Solanum lycopersicum: one gene and its partner. The protein of the gene in region 1 interacts with the protein of each later gene in a pairwise test. Links are inferred from orthologs where the notes say so. Each region holds a gene or a part of one and is shown on either strand. Other genes may lie near its edges. The genes, in order: Hop-interacting protein THI018 and FER.

What was found.
Region 2: the proteins of Hop-interacting protein THI018 (region 1) and FER interact in binary tests that used the Arabidopsis thaliana proteins (3 or more experiments, as listed by UniProt). The link is inferred for Solanum lycopersicum from reciprocal best matches to the Arabidopsis thaliana genes bHLH071 and FRU.

The regions. Positions count from the first base shown.
Region 1 is NC_090807.1:62,879,437-62,888,372, forward strand, and holds Hop-interacting protein THI018, read left to right. Parts: upstream 1-2,935; coding exon 2,936-3,382; intron 3,383-4,189; coding exon 4,190-4,633; intron 4,634-5,497; coding exon 5,498-5,593; downstream 5,594-8,936. UniProt on the Arabidopsis thaliana protein: Transcription factor. May be involved in the differentiation of stomatal guard cells.
Region 2 is NC_090805.1:37,596,863-37,605,378, reverse strand, and holds FER (bHLH transcriptional regulator), read left to right. Parts: upstream 1-4,038; 5' UTR 4,039-4,052; coding exon 4,053-4,511; intron 4,512-4,874; coding exon 4,875-5,048; intron 5,049-5,126; coding exon 5,127-5,300; intron 5,301-5,594; coding exon 5,595-5,702; 3' UTR 5,703-5,821; downstream 5,822-8,516. UniProt on the Arabidopsis thaliana protein: Transcription factor. Essential protein involved in iron uptake responses. Regulates FRO2 at the level of mRNA accumulation and IRT1 at the level of protein accumulation. Confers enhanced iron mobilization responses at low iron supply.

The DNA of each region.
Region 1 (8,936 bases):
TCAATAAACTGTCTGAATTGAACATTATTACAAAAAAAAAGAGCATATGGATATAATTAAAAAATATATATTAATTTTTATCTTAAACTTTTAAGAAATCATTTATTTTTGAGTTATGCTAAATGTAAAACTAGGAAGACATTCATTTGATAGAATAGACAAGTATATATAGACGTGAAAAATACATTTTGCAAGATTAAAGACATGATAGCCACAAGAAAAAAGGTATAGAAAGGCCAAAAAAAAAAATATACATGTATTATTATCTAGGGAATTGAGTTCTATAGTGGGTAGAAAAAAAAATTCCCAATTTTCAAAGGGAAAATGAAAAAAAAAAAAGAAGAAGATATAAAGTAAGAGCGTGAAGGGTAGCTTTTGCACAGCTTGTTATATTGTTTTTATGCATATCTCAATCTATATCTTGGGTCCCCCTACACTTGGGACCCCCACCCCCCCTCTGGCAGTATGTTTTGACATTTTTGTATAAATAAATTGAGAACCAAAGCATTACAACCATTATATGACTTAACATTATGTGTGTGTAAATTAAAATGTAGACATTTTTTTTTGTTTGTGTGTGAGAAGGAGAAGCAATAATTAACAAGAAAAGATAGGGAAAACGAAAGATCTGGTCTGCTTGGGTTAAAATTCTTATAGTCGTAGAGATTCTATTAGTAAAATTTGAGTCGGTAAGATTTGTAGGGCATTTGGCCAATAATCTTGTGGGAGCATTTAGATGTGTCATGATGTGTGGATCATAGTAAATATTTCGTGACGGTGGTTAACAGTATATAGTGGTGACTGTCTGACTGATAATGATGATTGTAGATAATAATCAATAATTATTGTTGTAATGATAATTGGTGGTGATGATTTTTGGATAATGGCTAATAATAATGACAGTTGATTAGTGTAGCAACAGTATGAACGAGAATGATGATAGAGAAAAATGATAGGCGGCAGTGATGTTGGTTTTTAATGGTGGGTGATGATTGTAGCGTGAATAGATGGATTTGGTGAATTTTTATTTTTGTTAAAAATTTTGAGTTAAGTATTTTAATGATAAATTTATTGCAATTTTTTTTTAATTTTTGAGACTATTAAGATGTTGTATTTTGTAGCATAAACAAAATACAAACAGACTTAATGACTCTGATATAAATAAGAGAATTATGTTTAAAATTTTATTAAATAAAGTTATAACTGATATTAAAGTTAAAAATATTAATTAAAAAGAACTTTTCAATCTTAATGTTATTAAACTAAATGTGTTTGCGTTATAAGTTTATATTATGTTAAAAATATTATATAAGCTACATGATTTTAAAACCTGTTATATAACATCCCAAGAGTAACATAGGTTTAAACTTATTAAAAAGGAAAATGTAAAAACTAATGGACAAAATATTATCCAAATTTCAACTTGAAAAGTATTCTATTTTCCTTACATTTACAACAAATATTATCCAAATGCCTACTTTCATTATTTATTAATATATGTGTTACTCATGACATTGTTCTGCGGTACAAAGATACTACTAAGATTCAGGGGAAAAGATTAAATATTAGAATATTTACCAAGGAACAACATAATATAAAACTTTTTTTCTAAATTAAAAGATGCACGTTTGCATTCCTTCCGTTTAATTATGTACTAAAAATCTCGGATCCGTATAATTTTGATAATTATTTTTAAAAAAATGGTCCCTTATAACCTTTTTTTAAAATAAATAATTGAAATGAACGATAAAATGCATGAGAGTGAAGCATATCAAACGAGTCATTCTATATGAAAAAGTGAGTGGAAAAAAATAGAAAAAAAAAACATAATATATCGCTAGTAAATTTTATGAAGACTTAAATTACGCTTCTGTTTCAATAGCAACATTCAAATATATAATCATATTAAATACTTTTGCCTTCAATTTGGGAAAAGCTAATGATTGTGTTTTCAAGCGTCCATTACGTGAATATGTTAATTATTTATAATGTTTATATTATTAATCTTAATAAGTTGTAAAACCTCAAACACCTTCTAATTGAAATTGATGTATAAAATTTAAAAAGATGCTATAATTAATATTATTAATACAAATTAACAAATAATATCATAATACATCAATAATAGCGTATGATTGCGCTTAATGACTTGGCAAATATTTGAGATATTTCATTAGTTACCATGTATTGCCTATTGAAGAGAAGTTTAAATTGTATTAACTAATAACATTACTTTTTTTATATATATATAAAAGGCATTTATTATTTAATCGACAATTTTTCTTAATTTAAGGTATCCTTCAAAGTTTCTTTTTAAATTGGACTAAAAGTTCAAGATCGCATTTTACAACTTATAAAGGTTATCGATATGCTATTTTAGCAAATCACCCATTATAATTTTTTGTTAGTAGCTGCAATTTACTAGTCCAGATAATTTGAATTCACGCTAACTACGTCCACTAAAGACATAATTTATTTTATCAAAAAGTTTTTTTGTTCTTTTATTCTGAAATTTGAAAACTGACTATGATTATAAATTTTTATTCGTAGCGAAAATTTACTAATTTAAATAATTTGAATTCACGCTAACTAGGCCCACCTAAAGACATAATTTATTTTATCAAAAAGTTCGTTATTCTCTTATTCTAAAATTCGAAAGCTTTGATTAAGGACGACGACCCATCAATTACTAGCTATAATATGTCTTTGTCTTACCCATACTACTTCAGGAACTCAGTGGTTATCACTATAAAATACTAATTGAAGTCTTATAACACTCCATACAAATAGATAATAGAGTTAGTAAAACAAGTCAAATGTTCATTGGGGTTCTCAAAACAAAACAACACACACATACAAAGCCCTCTTACAAAGCAAAATCCAAGACCCTCCTACTTATCTAAAAAATCACAAACAAAAAAAAAAGTTATTCCAAATGGCTTTAGAAGCACTTTCTACCAATGAACTCCTCAACTTCATTATCTACGATACAATCTCTACCACCACCACCACCACCAATAGCAACAACAATCTTGATGAAAATGCCTTATTTTTTGACAATCATGAAGAAAATAATGCCTTTCTATTAAAGCCTCAAGATTTTTGTACTACTACTCCCTTAGAGCAACAATATTCCATCGCCGCCTCAGTGCCGCGACCAGAGTCTTCTAGAGAGAAGAATAATTTGTCGGTCGCGGCACAATCAGGAGGCGGCGGTGGAGGGAGAAAGAAAAGGAGAAGAAGACCTAAAATTTGTAAGAATAAAGAGGAAGCTGAAAATCAAAGAATGACTCACATTGCTGTTGAGAGAAATAGGAGGAAACAAATGAATGAACATCTTTCTGTTTTACGTTCTCTCATGCCTGAATCTTATGTTCAAAGGGTATGTATGTACACTAATTAATTTAATTACTCTTTTTTGTTAGTTTTAATTTACGTAAAAAAATTCAACATTTATATACTATATACTATAAGGTACTAATTCTTTTTTTTTTCTCTATAATTTATGCATGATGGTAAGTGCTTTTAGTAACGGCGAAGTTAGAAATTTAACATATTAGTAAGTTAAAACTTTTGAATTTTCATCATTAATATGAAAGTTTAGATAGTTAATCGATTAAGCCTATGTATACAGTTTTGAATTCTGCAAATTAGTAGGATAAAGTTTTTTTTTATTTTTGCCCTATTATTCATTTATTCTCGAATTATGAGCCCTAGTGCATACGAACAACTTTCAGACTTGGTCCCTCTACTAAAATTTACATAAATAAGTTCATAAAAAAAATTTGTTTTTTCTATATTTTTTCTTTGTGGGGTTTGATGTTTTTTTTTCTTTTAAGTGTTATATGTAGCTTTTATTTCCATTTAGGTACAAACAGGAAAAAGTATTGTCAAGGATTCGAGGAAAAAGAGGTTGAAAATAATTGAATAACAGAAAATAACGCTTTGCATTCAATTTTTCTAAATGACCCTACGTACATTTGTCAATTAATAACTTGAAAATCAATCATTTTGTGAATTTATTGTATGTAGTAGTAGTAGTACTGTGTAAGTTGGCATTTGATAAAGAATATTCATTGTAAGAATGTCTTATAGAACATTAAATAAGTTTTTCTTCTTGATAAAGACAATTGAGAACTGAGACGTAATTATCATTATTATTATTATTATTATGTTGTCGTTCATTCAGGGTGACCAAGCTTCAATCGTTGGTGGTGCAATTGAATTCGTAAAGGAATTAGAACACATTCTACAATCTCTTGAAGCACAAAAATTCGTATTATTACAACAACAACAAGAAGGCGGTACTAGTAATGATAATGATGATTGTGACGGTGGAAAGAGAGAAGTTTCGAAGGCGGATTATGTTGGGACCCCATTTGCTCAATTTTTCTCGTATCCACAATATACATGTTGTGAATTACCAAATAAATATACATCAAAGAGCAAGGCAGCTATAGCTGATATTGAAGTAACTTTAATTGAAACACATGCAAATGTTAGAATATTATCAAGAAGAAGATTTCGTCAGCTATCAAAATTGGTCGCTGCGTTTCAGTCATTGTACATTTCTGTCCTTCACCTCAATGTCACCACTTTAGATCCATTGGTTCTTTATTCAATAAGTGTTAAGGTACGATTTTCATTTCATTTTTTTTTTCTGAAAATTATTATTTTTATAATTAATTTTTTTTATTCGAAAGAAAATGACTAGAGATTGCAAGAATCTATATAGCACAGGTACTTTTCATTACATGAAAATATGAGCTACAAAAAAAAAAAAAGTTGTTGAGGGTATTTTGGGAATTTAAAAAGGTCTACTACTTTTTACTAATTTCAGAAGGCAATGATGGGTCAGAAAGGGTGTTTCTTTACAATTCTTGTATGGCGTTTCTTAGTAAAGTCATACTTGTCTTTTTGTACTTATGATTACGAATTATTTCAAAAAAAAATGATTTTTTTAATTTTTTTTTTAGTGGTTATGTCAAATTGTTCAATTGATACATTTTCTTATGTTGTTGTACCAAACAAATAAAATAAGTTTGATATGAATGGTGATAAAATTCGAATACTTAATCTTTCCTTTTTTCTGATATCATGTTAGATTATGTTATAACTAAGGAAAATAAAATTCAAAACATAGAATTTTTTGCTTTTTCTAATATCACGTTAGAATTGTGTACTAATAGATAGAAGATAAAACTCTGAATATGGTCATATTTTTTTCTTAAATTCTGAACATAAGAGATTTGCTTCTTTTTATGTCAATGTTAGATTGTGTTCGACAATGAATAACAATAAAACTCAGATATAAGATCTTTGAAATTAAATTAGAAATTCAAACATATTATTTTTTCTTTTTTCTAATATCATGTTAGAATTATGTGATATCGTATGACAATAAAAGTTAAACACATAATGTTTGCTTTCTCTGATATCATGTTAAATCGTGTTTGACGAAGTCTTTTATTATTTTTTTGTCCAAAAAAAATGGCAGGTGGAAGAAGGTTGCCAACTAAATTCAGCAGATGACATAGCAGGTGCAGTCCACCACATGCTAAGAATAATTGAGGAGGAAGCAGCTACACTTTAATTTCTTGCTAAGCCTAGGGAACACATCCCCCCCTGTTATCTTTATTTATCATGTTTTTTTTTTTTAATTCTTCTTAGTTTAAATCCAGTAGACAAAACAAAAAAAAAAGAAAAAAAAAGGACTTTGTTCAATGTTCATATTAATTAGTACCAGTAGAGTTCTTTCTTGTCGTCCTTGTACGTACGTACAACATGAGCTGTGATATTTTTTGTTTATAAATGTGTGACATTTGAGTACAATTAATTATTACAGTTTTTAGTACTACTCTTTTCTATAGTTACTCACATATAATTGTCGGGTTTTTTATAACACTAAATAGTGTAATACAGTACGTTTGATATATAACATATTAAATTATACTAATAATAATCATAATGATATCTTTTGTATGACAATATTTAGGTATATAAGTTAAATTCATAAATAATATGAAAAAATTAGACAGGATGACTATGTAATGAGAAATAGTTGAATATTTTTCAAGGCGAAAATCATAATTGAGGAAAAATACCTTAAGTTAAAATATGGATCAACGATCCACCATAACAAATTGAAGTTTTGACAAGTGAACTTCTAACATAATGTGCTAGAGCTCAAAAAAAAATTATCGAGTTATAAATGTAATTTAAATTTAAAGATATTTCTTTCATGATGTTTGAATTTATGAAGGACTTTTCATGGAATTTAAAAAAAGATTGTGTATGTATGACATATATTGTTAAATAGGAACATGCAATAAAATAATTAGTATGAAAATATTTTTTTTTTTGAACTCCATGATTGAAGGATTTATCCCAACTAGAGTTTGAACCGTGCATATAATAGTACTTATAAACATTTCAAGTTACACTGAAATTTTTAAATGTTTTTTGATTTAATCAGAGTTATATATGATCATCTAATTGATATTTTTCATATTGAAAAGTGATTAAACTGTAATTAATTTAGTACTAATGTTTTTTTTTTTAATAGAGGGAACCAAATTAATAAATATCCATTGTTTTTTAATAATGACTTTTGTCGTTGATGATTAAGACATATCCACCTTATTACTTCATGCATGGTCTATGGATTCCCTTCAATTTAGGGCAAGTCTAAATTTGTCATTTAACGAAGGTACATTTTTATTCTATTCTTCAGAAATTCGACCCTCTCTCAATTTACACCATTCAATCTTAATCTAAACTTTGCTCCACATGTAAATATTTGTCAACTATATTATATGCTCTCTCTTATTTATTTATTTTTGGAGATCATTTTTGTTTATGAGCAAATTATTGTGTAATAAAGTACTACATGATGTTTAGATTCATCTTCGGTGGAGTGGAGTCAGAATATTAAATTTATGAATACAAATTTTTGTTAGTTTAAGGACAAATATAAAAGTTTTATTAAATTATCGAGTTTAATTGAATGTAACTCCTTTTCTATGTCGCTCTACGACCTACGTTACTTACAAGATTCGTATAAAAAAATTGTATAAAATGACATTTCAAACCATGTATTAAACTCAAGCACATGTAGACGAGAGGGGATTTTGCTCAAATTGGTAAACACAAACTTCATATTGAATTGAATATGAATTCGAGTCATCAAATAAGAAAAAAGTATGAAGTTTTATGGAGAAGTAAAAAAACACATTTAGCTAGCACACTACAAAGGAAATGAGTTCATGCATATATATATATAAAATTTCACTTTTAACTGACGACTAGAGATGAATTTCAAATTTTAAATTTATTGTTTCTATATGATAAATTAAAACTTTGTTTAACTTATTAGGTTTGAATTGCGTTTTTTCGTAATAAGTAATTTTTTTAACATAATTATCAAGTTTGGGAGAAAGTTGCTAAGTTCAACCTAACCATAAATATATCTACATTTTAAGTTACCAAATTGTCTAAAAGTTCTTTTACATTGTTACTACAATGAAGTTAAATTTGTTGAAGGACAATTAATAAAATTTCAAGGTTAAAAATTGTAAAAAAAAAAGGATGTATATATGTGGTCCATCTCTATAGCTACAATTAACCAGGACAAAATTCATTTAAACGTTCTGGACTTTTATCCCTGTGCTTATATCTATAATTGTGCAAAAGCAAAACATGTTAGGTTGAAAAATATAGCAGTATTTGCATATGAGGTTGCTGTAATTACCATCAATTCTAGGGAAAAAATTGAACATTTCAAGAAAATTGATGTAATGTAGGGATATTTACGTAAATAACTAGTCGGGTTCAATATTGACTTTTCTTAATCGATATACATTAATTATACGCTGACTATATTAAGGTTATGCGATTGAATGTACAATTATTCGGGTTTTAATATTTGTGATTTTTACTAATAGTAGTTTCTTTTAGCAAATTAAATAAAAATGTGCAGAATTTTTGTGGTTCAATTCAAAGCAAAATTACCATAGTAAGTTTTTTTTTAATTTTTTTTGATTGTGGGGGTCACTCTGCAACTCTCATTAAAACACATGGCTTCTAGTGCTACAATTTGATAGAGACTTTTTAAAACGTTACAAAAAAACAATAATACACCCTTCTAATAAACGTATATTATTTTTTATTTAATTGTACACAATTCAAGAACATTGTAATCATCTAATTTCCCAAAAATCCAAGAATTGGTTTTCAGATTCTGTATAATTTGTACAAAAAAAAAAGTTTTTATCATCATCAGTTTGAGAAATGGCTAAAATACATGTGGCTACACATGCAAGTGCATGGACTCGATCTTTAGCAAAATATTTAAGAATATAATGTATTTTTCTTCTTTCTTTTCCGTATAGAAACAAATTCAGTCCTTTTGTTTTCACACAATTCAAGATAATATATATGAAATAATCTTAGGTATATATATGTCCAAAATTGTAACTTTTTTTGTTACCAACTAAAATGTTCACATTTTTTATTTTATCAATACTTCTTGTGTGGTTAATATCATTATTCTGTTCATGTAATAAGTCCAATTACTTTTTTCTTTTGGTGGATATATGTATACCTAAGCAAACAAATAATTATCTTAACTAAAGAGACGTTTATGGTCTTCCTTCGTTTCCTCCTTACCCTTACTATGAATTCGAATAACGATTAATGTATGTGAATTTAAGTTATATATACTGAGTATGTTATAAAAGAAAATAATAAAATTATAAATGTATGATTATATAAGATTTGTTAATACAAGCAATAATTTTAACTGAAACCAACAAATTCACATCTTAATTGATTGTAATAATAGAAATTGCATTATACATAATTAATGACGTGTTATAGACTCATATATAGCTTATAATATATTTTTTATACAAGAAAAAACACTAAGTATATAAAAG
Region 2 (8,516 bases), on another chromosome or scaffold:
TTTAAACCATATGAATGATTGAAATGATTCCTACACTCCAAAGTAGTGTGCTTAAAGTGGAGGGATAATGTCCAAGTAGCCCCTCAACCTATGTCCAAAATCACAGAAACACACTTATACTATACTAAGGTCCTATTAACCCCTGAACTTATTTTATAAATAGTTTTCTACCATTTTCAGCCTACGTGGCACTAGTTAAAAAAAAAAAGTCAATCATCATTGGGCCCACAAGATAGTGCCACGTAGACAGAAAAGGGGCAGAAAATTATTTAAAAAATAAGTTCAGAGGTAATAGAACCTTAGTATAGTATAAGTGTGTCAAGGTGGAATATTAGTAAATTGTTATTTAATTTTTGTCAAGGTGGAATATTTTATTCAGTGAAATGTTACGTGTCAAAGGTTTTTTCAAATAAAAAAGAGTGTATTATACACACACCAATGAAATGTGTTTCTCAAACTAAAAGACGATAGTTTAGGTATGAAACTCGAATAAAGATCCGGTCAAATATAATTAGGTCAAGTAATGTTCAATGACCTTATAAATTCATGCCATGTATACTATAAAATAATTTATGGTTGAGATTGATTTAAATTATATATTCATCTTAATAATAAAAACAACGAAAGTGTCAATTTTTTTTATTTCTTAATACTATCAAATAAAACAATCAAGTGTATCATAGCTAACATTTTCAAGAAAAAATAAGACTACAAAAATATGAGTACTTTCCGACTTTTTAACCTGCCAAATCTCATACTTGTATTGAATTTTTTTGTATTATACTAATTTTAAAGAATCTGACGCTTTTGAAAATTCTGAATAAATGTATTTTTATAATTACTTGAAAACCTCCAATTAAGTATTTTTTTTATAAAAAAAATGTATTATCATGTTCTTATGTTGAATTATTATTTAGAACTCAATTATGTTTTTAAGTTTGATCTATTCTTGGAGATTTCTTCAGAATTTGGAGATGGCATGTGTGAAATTACTCCTGAACAAGTTTGTCGGGTAAAGAGTCAGAAAGATTGCGTTTTCCCATCAATCTTAATTTTTTTTTGTGAAAATATTAGTTTGGATACACATAATTGCTTTATTTGATAGTTTTAAAAAATAAAAAATTTGACAGCTTTGTTGTTTTATAATTATTATTAATGAGCATATAATTTAAGTTGATCTCAACTATAAATTATTATATAGTACACATGGCATGAATATGTAAGACCATTGAACATCACTTAACCTAATTATACTTGACCGAATCTTTACCCATGAAACGTACACTATCGATAATTTAGGTATGAAATAAAAAGAAGGGATAATTTATGTGTGTTTTTGATACTTATCTCAAAATAAGATTATATTAGTTATTTAGGTTGTTCACTCTCTTTGAGAGAGTGTACACACTCTCTATGTAAGGTAAACAAAAAAAATGATATAATAATATCAGTTTAATATTATTTACTGGGTAATAGGACGCTCACATAGTTAAGATTTTTTTTTTTGAAAATACGGGACAAGTTCATATGACACTCAATGTATTTTCTCCAAATATAAACAACTCAAACACATATGTTTTTGTTGTATAGATTTTTTTTTCTTAATGTCTTCTTAGTTGTTGATATTCCATTATATTGTGCATCCACATAAAAAAATAGAAATAATTGGAGAAAGAGAATTAACTTTGTAATACCATTGGGTAGAACTTAAATACGGTATTACTTAATACTGTATCAAATTAAAATTTAATTTATCAATCATCAAAATTACCAAGACGAAATTTAAAAAATTGATATCTACATTTAACTATCAACACCGAATTTAAAATTTGAGAATCCCAATCCGAAACGCCCACCTCTATCCAAAGTCATTAATTTTTGAGATCATACTCATACTCTATTAAATTAAGTAAATCAAGTTAATATATGATTGTTAGTGGCGGCAGACGGTGTGCTTGTGTGACACAACTCGTTGCACAACGCAAGCACGAGCTTTTATATTTAATTGGATAAAAGATTCTCATATAGAAAATTCCATCCATGGGCTTAGCTTGTGTCATGGGTTTTTGCAGTGGTTTCAGCATTAAATTAGATAACGGGGTACTTATATTGTTAAACAAGAAAGTATAGTAGAAAGTAAAAAGTAAATTAAATAATGCTACGACTATTAATTTTCTTGAAAATGGGAATAGTAAAAGGTAAAAGTTACAACTTAAGTCATTTCTTAAGTGTTATCTGTTCTTTCGAACTAGGGATAACAAATAAGTGAATTAAATTAGATTGAATTTGAATAAACGAAATATAAATTGAATTAAAATGCATTGGATTGCAAAAAAAAAAAAATAGAACTTTTTTCTATGAAAAAATTTGCCAACTCTACCCCCACCCCCATCTCAGGACACCTCCTACCAAAAAAATTTCCAAAAAGAAATAAATTGCCTCCGCCCACAGCTCCCCCCTCCCCCCTATCCCCCCCACCCCAACCCAATATTTTATTTTTGTTCTCAAAAACAAATAGGGCAACTAGAGATTTTTATCATAAGTTAGTGTGTTATATGAGTATATGGATATTCTCATTTTACCCATTTTGTTCATAATATTTGTATGAACTTAAACAGGTTAAAGTTTATATTATCCATTTAAGAATAGAAAATTACATAGAAAAATTAATATATATTGGTTGCTTAGCTAATATAGCTATAGTTTGAATCAATTACGGCTCATAACTTAATTTTAGATGTAATTACGTAGCAGGTCCTCTTTTATACACACTATTGCTCTCCTCTCTTCTCTCTTCCAATCTCGTTCGCCAGACACACACACTTGCTCTCCTCTCTCTCTCTATCGATCTCTCTCTCGCGCACACACACAATCCCCTCTCCCCACTCCCTCCCCTCTCTGCTTGTCTCTCTCCTCCCTTTGACATTCTTGGCCGCTATATCATATACAAATAAATATATATACCAGTTACATATATATCATTATTTGATAGCTATACGTACACGATTTAACATATATACATATACATTTCGCCTCTCTCCAATCTCTACGTTCTCTCACTCGCCTCTCTTCTTCCTCTCCCAATCACTCCTCTCTCTGACATGTAGCTATGAATGAGAATTAACAAACTATAGATATGAAGCATAATTAAGTTACTTTTGAGTGACTATATGTGAAAATTCTCCGTTTAAAAAAATATGAGTGATGGCCATTTCATTTAATTAATATGGGAAAAATAGATTTATTTCACTTATATGTATTGAAATTGTCATCCTTTGTACACAGTATAATTTTGGGAAACTTATATAAATATACTATATTAAGAAAATACTTATTATTTATAGCAACAACATTTGATCACTTTTAATACATTTATATTACAGTTTTAATACATATGATAGAGAACAATTTATAAAAACACATATAATACAACTTCTATTGATGAATAATGCATTTATCACATTTTAATATAATGTGTAAATTTCTTATTAATCAAGCATGATATATTACATACATAATTCATTTTAATACATATTACAGATTTATTATGATATTACGATAAATGGTCATAAATAAAAATATCACTAAAATTAATAATTATTTATTAAAATATATTTATCTAAGTAATTTTTCAATAAAAAGTGTCCAATAGCCATAGGACAGGGTAGCTCCGACCCCAGAGTGAGTAGTGAGCATATTAAATGATGTCTTAGTCGTGATACTAATATATATATATATATTGAGGCACAAAATAAATAAAAAGAATATTTAGTTAGATTAGTAAAATTAGATCATGACATCCTCTCTTACTTCATCAATACTTAAAACAAAAAGTAGTACGTGGTGGAATCTGGTGAAGGTTCATTTGATGCCTAAATAAAATTAAAATTAGATTAAATTAAAATTTGTCAACAACCCTTAGGGTTTTAATATTAGTTTTAACAACTCCAAGTCACTATATTCGATTCCCTTTGTTATAGTAATTAATATTAATCAAACATCTATAAATCCCCAGTAGACCCCTCTCACTATTTCTCCAAAATAAAAAAAAAATGGAGAGTGGTAATGCATCAATGGAAAATAATAATGTTAATGATATTGGGCTTATTAATTTCTTGGATGAGGATAATTTTGAACAATTCATTGAGCTTATTAGGGGTGAAACTGCTGATCCTATTGTAAATTTTTGCCCAAACTATGATTGTGAACATATGACAGGTTGTTTTTCCGCAGCCAATGCCCAATTTGAGCCAATATTATCGTCGATGGATTTCTATGATACAACATTGCCAGATCCTATTTCGCTATATAACTGCGAAATCAAGCTGGATAATAATGATGATGAAGACGATGATGAATCTTCTGGCACAACGGCTACCACCAAAATGACTCCAACAAGCAAAGGCACGAGGACTGACCGGTCCAGAACTTTGATTTCGGAGCGCAAAAGGAGAGGAAGAATGAAGGAAAAGCTTTACGCTTTGCGATCCTTAGTTCCTAATATCACAAAGGTATGTATGTACATGCGGATTCAGGATTGAAAGGTTGTGGGTGCTTAAAAAAAATTTTAAAAAAAAGAAATGCTACTGGCGAGATTGAACGCTTGCCAGTGGCTTCGCGCGCCTCTTATTGCAGAGGTTTAAACCAACTCACCTACAGCTACTTTTGTTATATGAGTGCTCATTTAAATTATAATAACATATATATCATATTTTATATATATATATTAAAAATTTTCGAAAATCAATGGATGCTCGAGTACCCGCGTCTGGCTTACTGGGTCCGCCCCTGTATATGTATGTATGTAGTTTCAAATATTGATAAGACCCTTCACCCTCAATCAATTTCATGATGATTTTTTGTTTGATTGGCAGATGGATAAAGCCTCCATCATTGGAGATGCAATATTATACGTACAAGGACTACAAACCAAAGCAAAGAAACTTAAAGTTGAAATAGCAGAGTTTGAGTCATCAAGTGGAATATTTCAAAATGCAAAGAAAATGAATTTCACAACCTATTATCCAGCAATCAAGAGGATAACAAAGGTTTGTTTAGTTTTTACTAAAAACTTGTTAATTACTTATTTTACCAAATAAAACATAAATAAATGGTATATATTGCAGATGGACATTAATCAAGTAGAAGAAAAAGGATTTTACGTGAGATTAATTTGCAACAAAGGGCGACACATTGCAGCTTCTCTTTTCAAAGCTCTTGAGTCTCTCAATGGATTCAATGTTCAAACTTCCAACTTGGCTACTTCTACCAATGATTACATTTTCACCTTCACTCTTTATGTAGGTTACCAAACTTACATTATTCTTGCAATTATTTAGTTTCAACTTTCCACCTCATATATTTAACATCTCAAAATTAAAAAAGTATATATTTTGATACATTTTAGTCTAAACTACAATATTCAAAAATGTTTCTTTATTTTCTTAAATTCAATATGTCAAAGTCAAAATAAGATAAATAAATTGAATGAAGAAAGTAATTATCAATTCATTTGCACCTATTTTTGTTTATTGGAAATCTATGTATAGTGATCCTTTTTGTTGTTGTTTTTTTGTGTGGAAATGGATATGCAGGTGAGAGAATGTCATGAGGTGGACATAAACTTTGGCAATTTGAAGCTATGGATAGCTAGTGCTTTTCTTAATCAAGGGTTTGACTTCGAGACATCTCCGTTGGTCTAATATCATGTTATTATTGTAACTTTCTAAAATACTGAACTATATTTAATTTGTATTATCATTTAGTACTCATTATCCAAACTAAACGGGACTTTTACTTAATGAAGGAACACTTGTTTTGATTTTATCATCATGACTTTATTCTTCCTTATCTTCAAAACAACAATTGATTTACAAATAGATAATGAGGAAATTAAGATCAAATCCTCCCCACTAACCTAGAATTAATTTGAAGTTGTTAAGTTATAAATGTTTAAATTAATAATTTTAATTACATATTAAATGAGTATAATGTTTAGATAATTATTGGGTTCGATCAAATTCATTCTTCAATAATATTGAGTTTGATCGAGAATCCATGCCTCAACGTGCATGCTCGACTTTGTTGTATTTGGAAGCATGAATTTGCAAAGCCAACAAGTAAGGAATGTGGCCAAAATAGTCTCATCTCTAGTGACTCTTCCGTGTCTAGCTCGCCAAAGGGAGCATTCTCCTCGTCAGTCCATGGTCGACATCTCGAGCCATCTCAGAAAGAAATGGAAATCTAGCTGAGTTAACTTTCCACCAAATCAATACATCAAAATCAGAGTTTCCAATTTCAGTTTTTTCATCAAGATATTTAACTAATTCTGACTTGAACTTGCTCCTCCCTTTTCAGATTTATGTTTATGTAATTCCTCCAAAAATATTTTAAATTCTCCTATAGAACTTGAAATAGAAGTACCACCTCAGTTGAAGAAAATTGGCCACTTTTATCATTTGAAATGAGCTTTGTATACTCATTAAACAAAGCTTCCATGTACGTTCGCACACCATTTTCTAAAGCAACCCCTTTTTATCCAAACATCTTCTTAAATGCAAAGCCAAGAGTACTAAACTTGTGACGAGGATCCAAAACACATGGTATGAAAATCATCTTATTCATTTTTTCAGTATCATCCCAATATTTGTCAAATTTCTCTTTCATATTTTCTGCCATTTTAACGAAAACTTGATCTTTATTTGATATCAATTGATTCAAGTAAACACCAACTTGACAAATTTCAAGAAAATGAATATTTGATGCAACATATCGTGATCCATATATCTTCAAAGTAAGATTAAAAAACATTTTAAGAAATTGTGTAATTCTCTTTACGCCTTCCCAGTCACTACTCAAAAGTGTACCTGTAGAATTTTTATCAACAAACTTAATATATAGTGTCAAGCTAATATCACGATCGACGTACTCTACAATTTCCCCTTCATATTCAATAACCCTGCTCAACATCATGTAGGTGGAATTCCACCTTGTAGGAACATCTAATCATAAAGACTTTTTAGCAAGATTTTCATCTTCACAACATTCTTGAAACTTTTTCCACCTAGCAGGAGATTGTCTGATGTAACTCACTGATTGCCTAACTCGTTCAATAGGCACATTTGCTTCTTTTGTACCATCTTGAACAATAAGATTTACAATGAGTCATACACCTTATATGAAGGTGACTACTACCCATTAAGTTGGTCTCCTATTTAGTTAATTTCTTAGAAAACTCAGTTATTGTGACACTATTTGAATCAACACTATCAACTATAATAGTGAAAATTCGATGCAATCCCCACTTATGTAAGCACTTACTAATAGACTTTCCAAGATTTTCACCTCTATAACTAGTGATTGGACAAAAGTTGATAATTCTTTTATGCAAAGTCCAATTTTTATCAATCCAATGAGCAGTAATGACCATATAATTGATTCTCTGTATGAAAGTCCAATTATCAGTGGTTAAATACACCCTTTGTTGTGTTTCCGTAAAAACATCCATCAACTTACATTTTTCTTCATCAAGATGATCAAAACAGTCACAAGTCACAGTGGTACGGGAAGGGATGTGGAAACAAGGTTGTGCTACTTCCACAAATTGTTTAAAACCTTATTTTTCAACAAATCTGAAAGGAAGGCCATCAATAATTATCATACGACGCAAGACCTTTCTACACTTTTCCTAGCCAAGTTTCCATGGAACAACAACTACATCACCATTGTTACCACCTATCATTGGTTGAAATGCTAATCTTGATTGTTTAATATCAATATTATAAGACATCTTTGTGCATTTGTTTATATGAGTAAGCATTGACGTCGTACCATGTTCTTTTGTGTAAGCAAAATACTCTTTCTTACAATAGTTACAAACAACCTTTTCACTTCCTTTAGAATTAGTTTTATAAGTAAAATGATTCCACACACGAGATCTTTTTTTCTTCCTTTCCTTACTTTAGACTCAATAGTTTGACTTTGATCTATTGCATTTGAATTAGAAGCCCCACTTTCACCAATAACCTTATGATATTTTCAGCCATGATACTTTTCACCAAAAATTGCGAAAAGATATAAAAACTAAGTAATTTTATTAAAGAAAGAACTACAAGTACAAACAATAGGTTAAGTGGTATCAAATTTTTACACACTTGACAATAGACACATCACAGTTCACCCAAAGCAACAACTAGAAGACAACAAAGTGCAAACAAATGAGCCAAAGTGCCAAGCTGTGAATTTCTACAGCATTGAACAACTTCCAAAAATTCTTGAGACCACACTAGAAATTTTGATCAAGCTATATCAACAACCATCAAAATTTCCCCTTGATTTCTTGTTTCTTTGTATTTCTAAAACATTAAAGTTTGTAACCATTATTCACATACTTTGGACCAGTAGGAAGTGACTGATCTTAAAGCAAGAACTACAAAGTACAATAACTTACTTATGAGGCGTGAGCAATGAGTGAATGAGAATCTAAGACTAGGGAGCCGACTGCTAGTAGTTCTGTG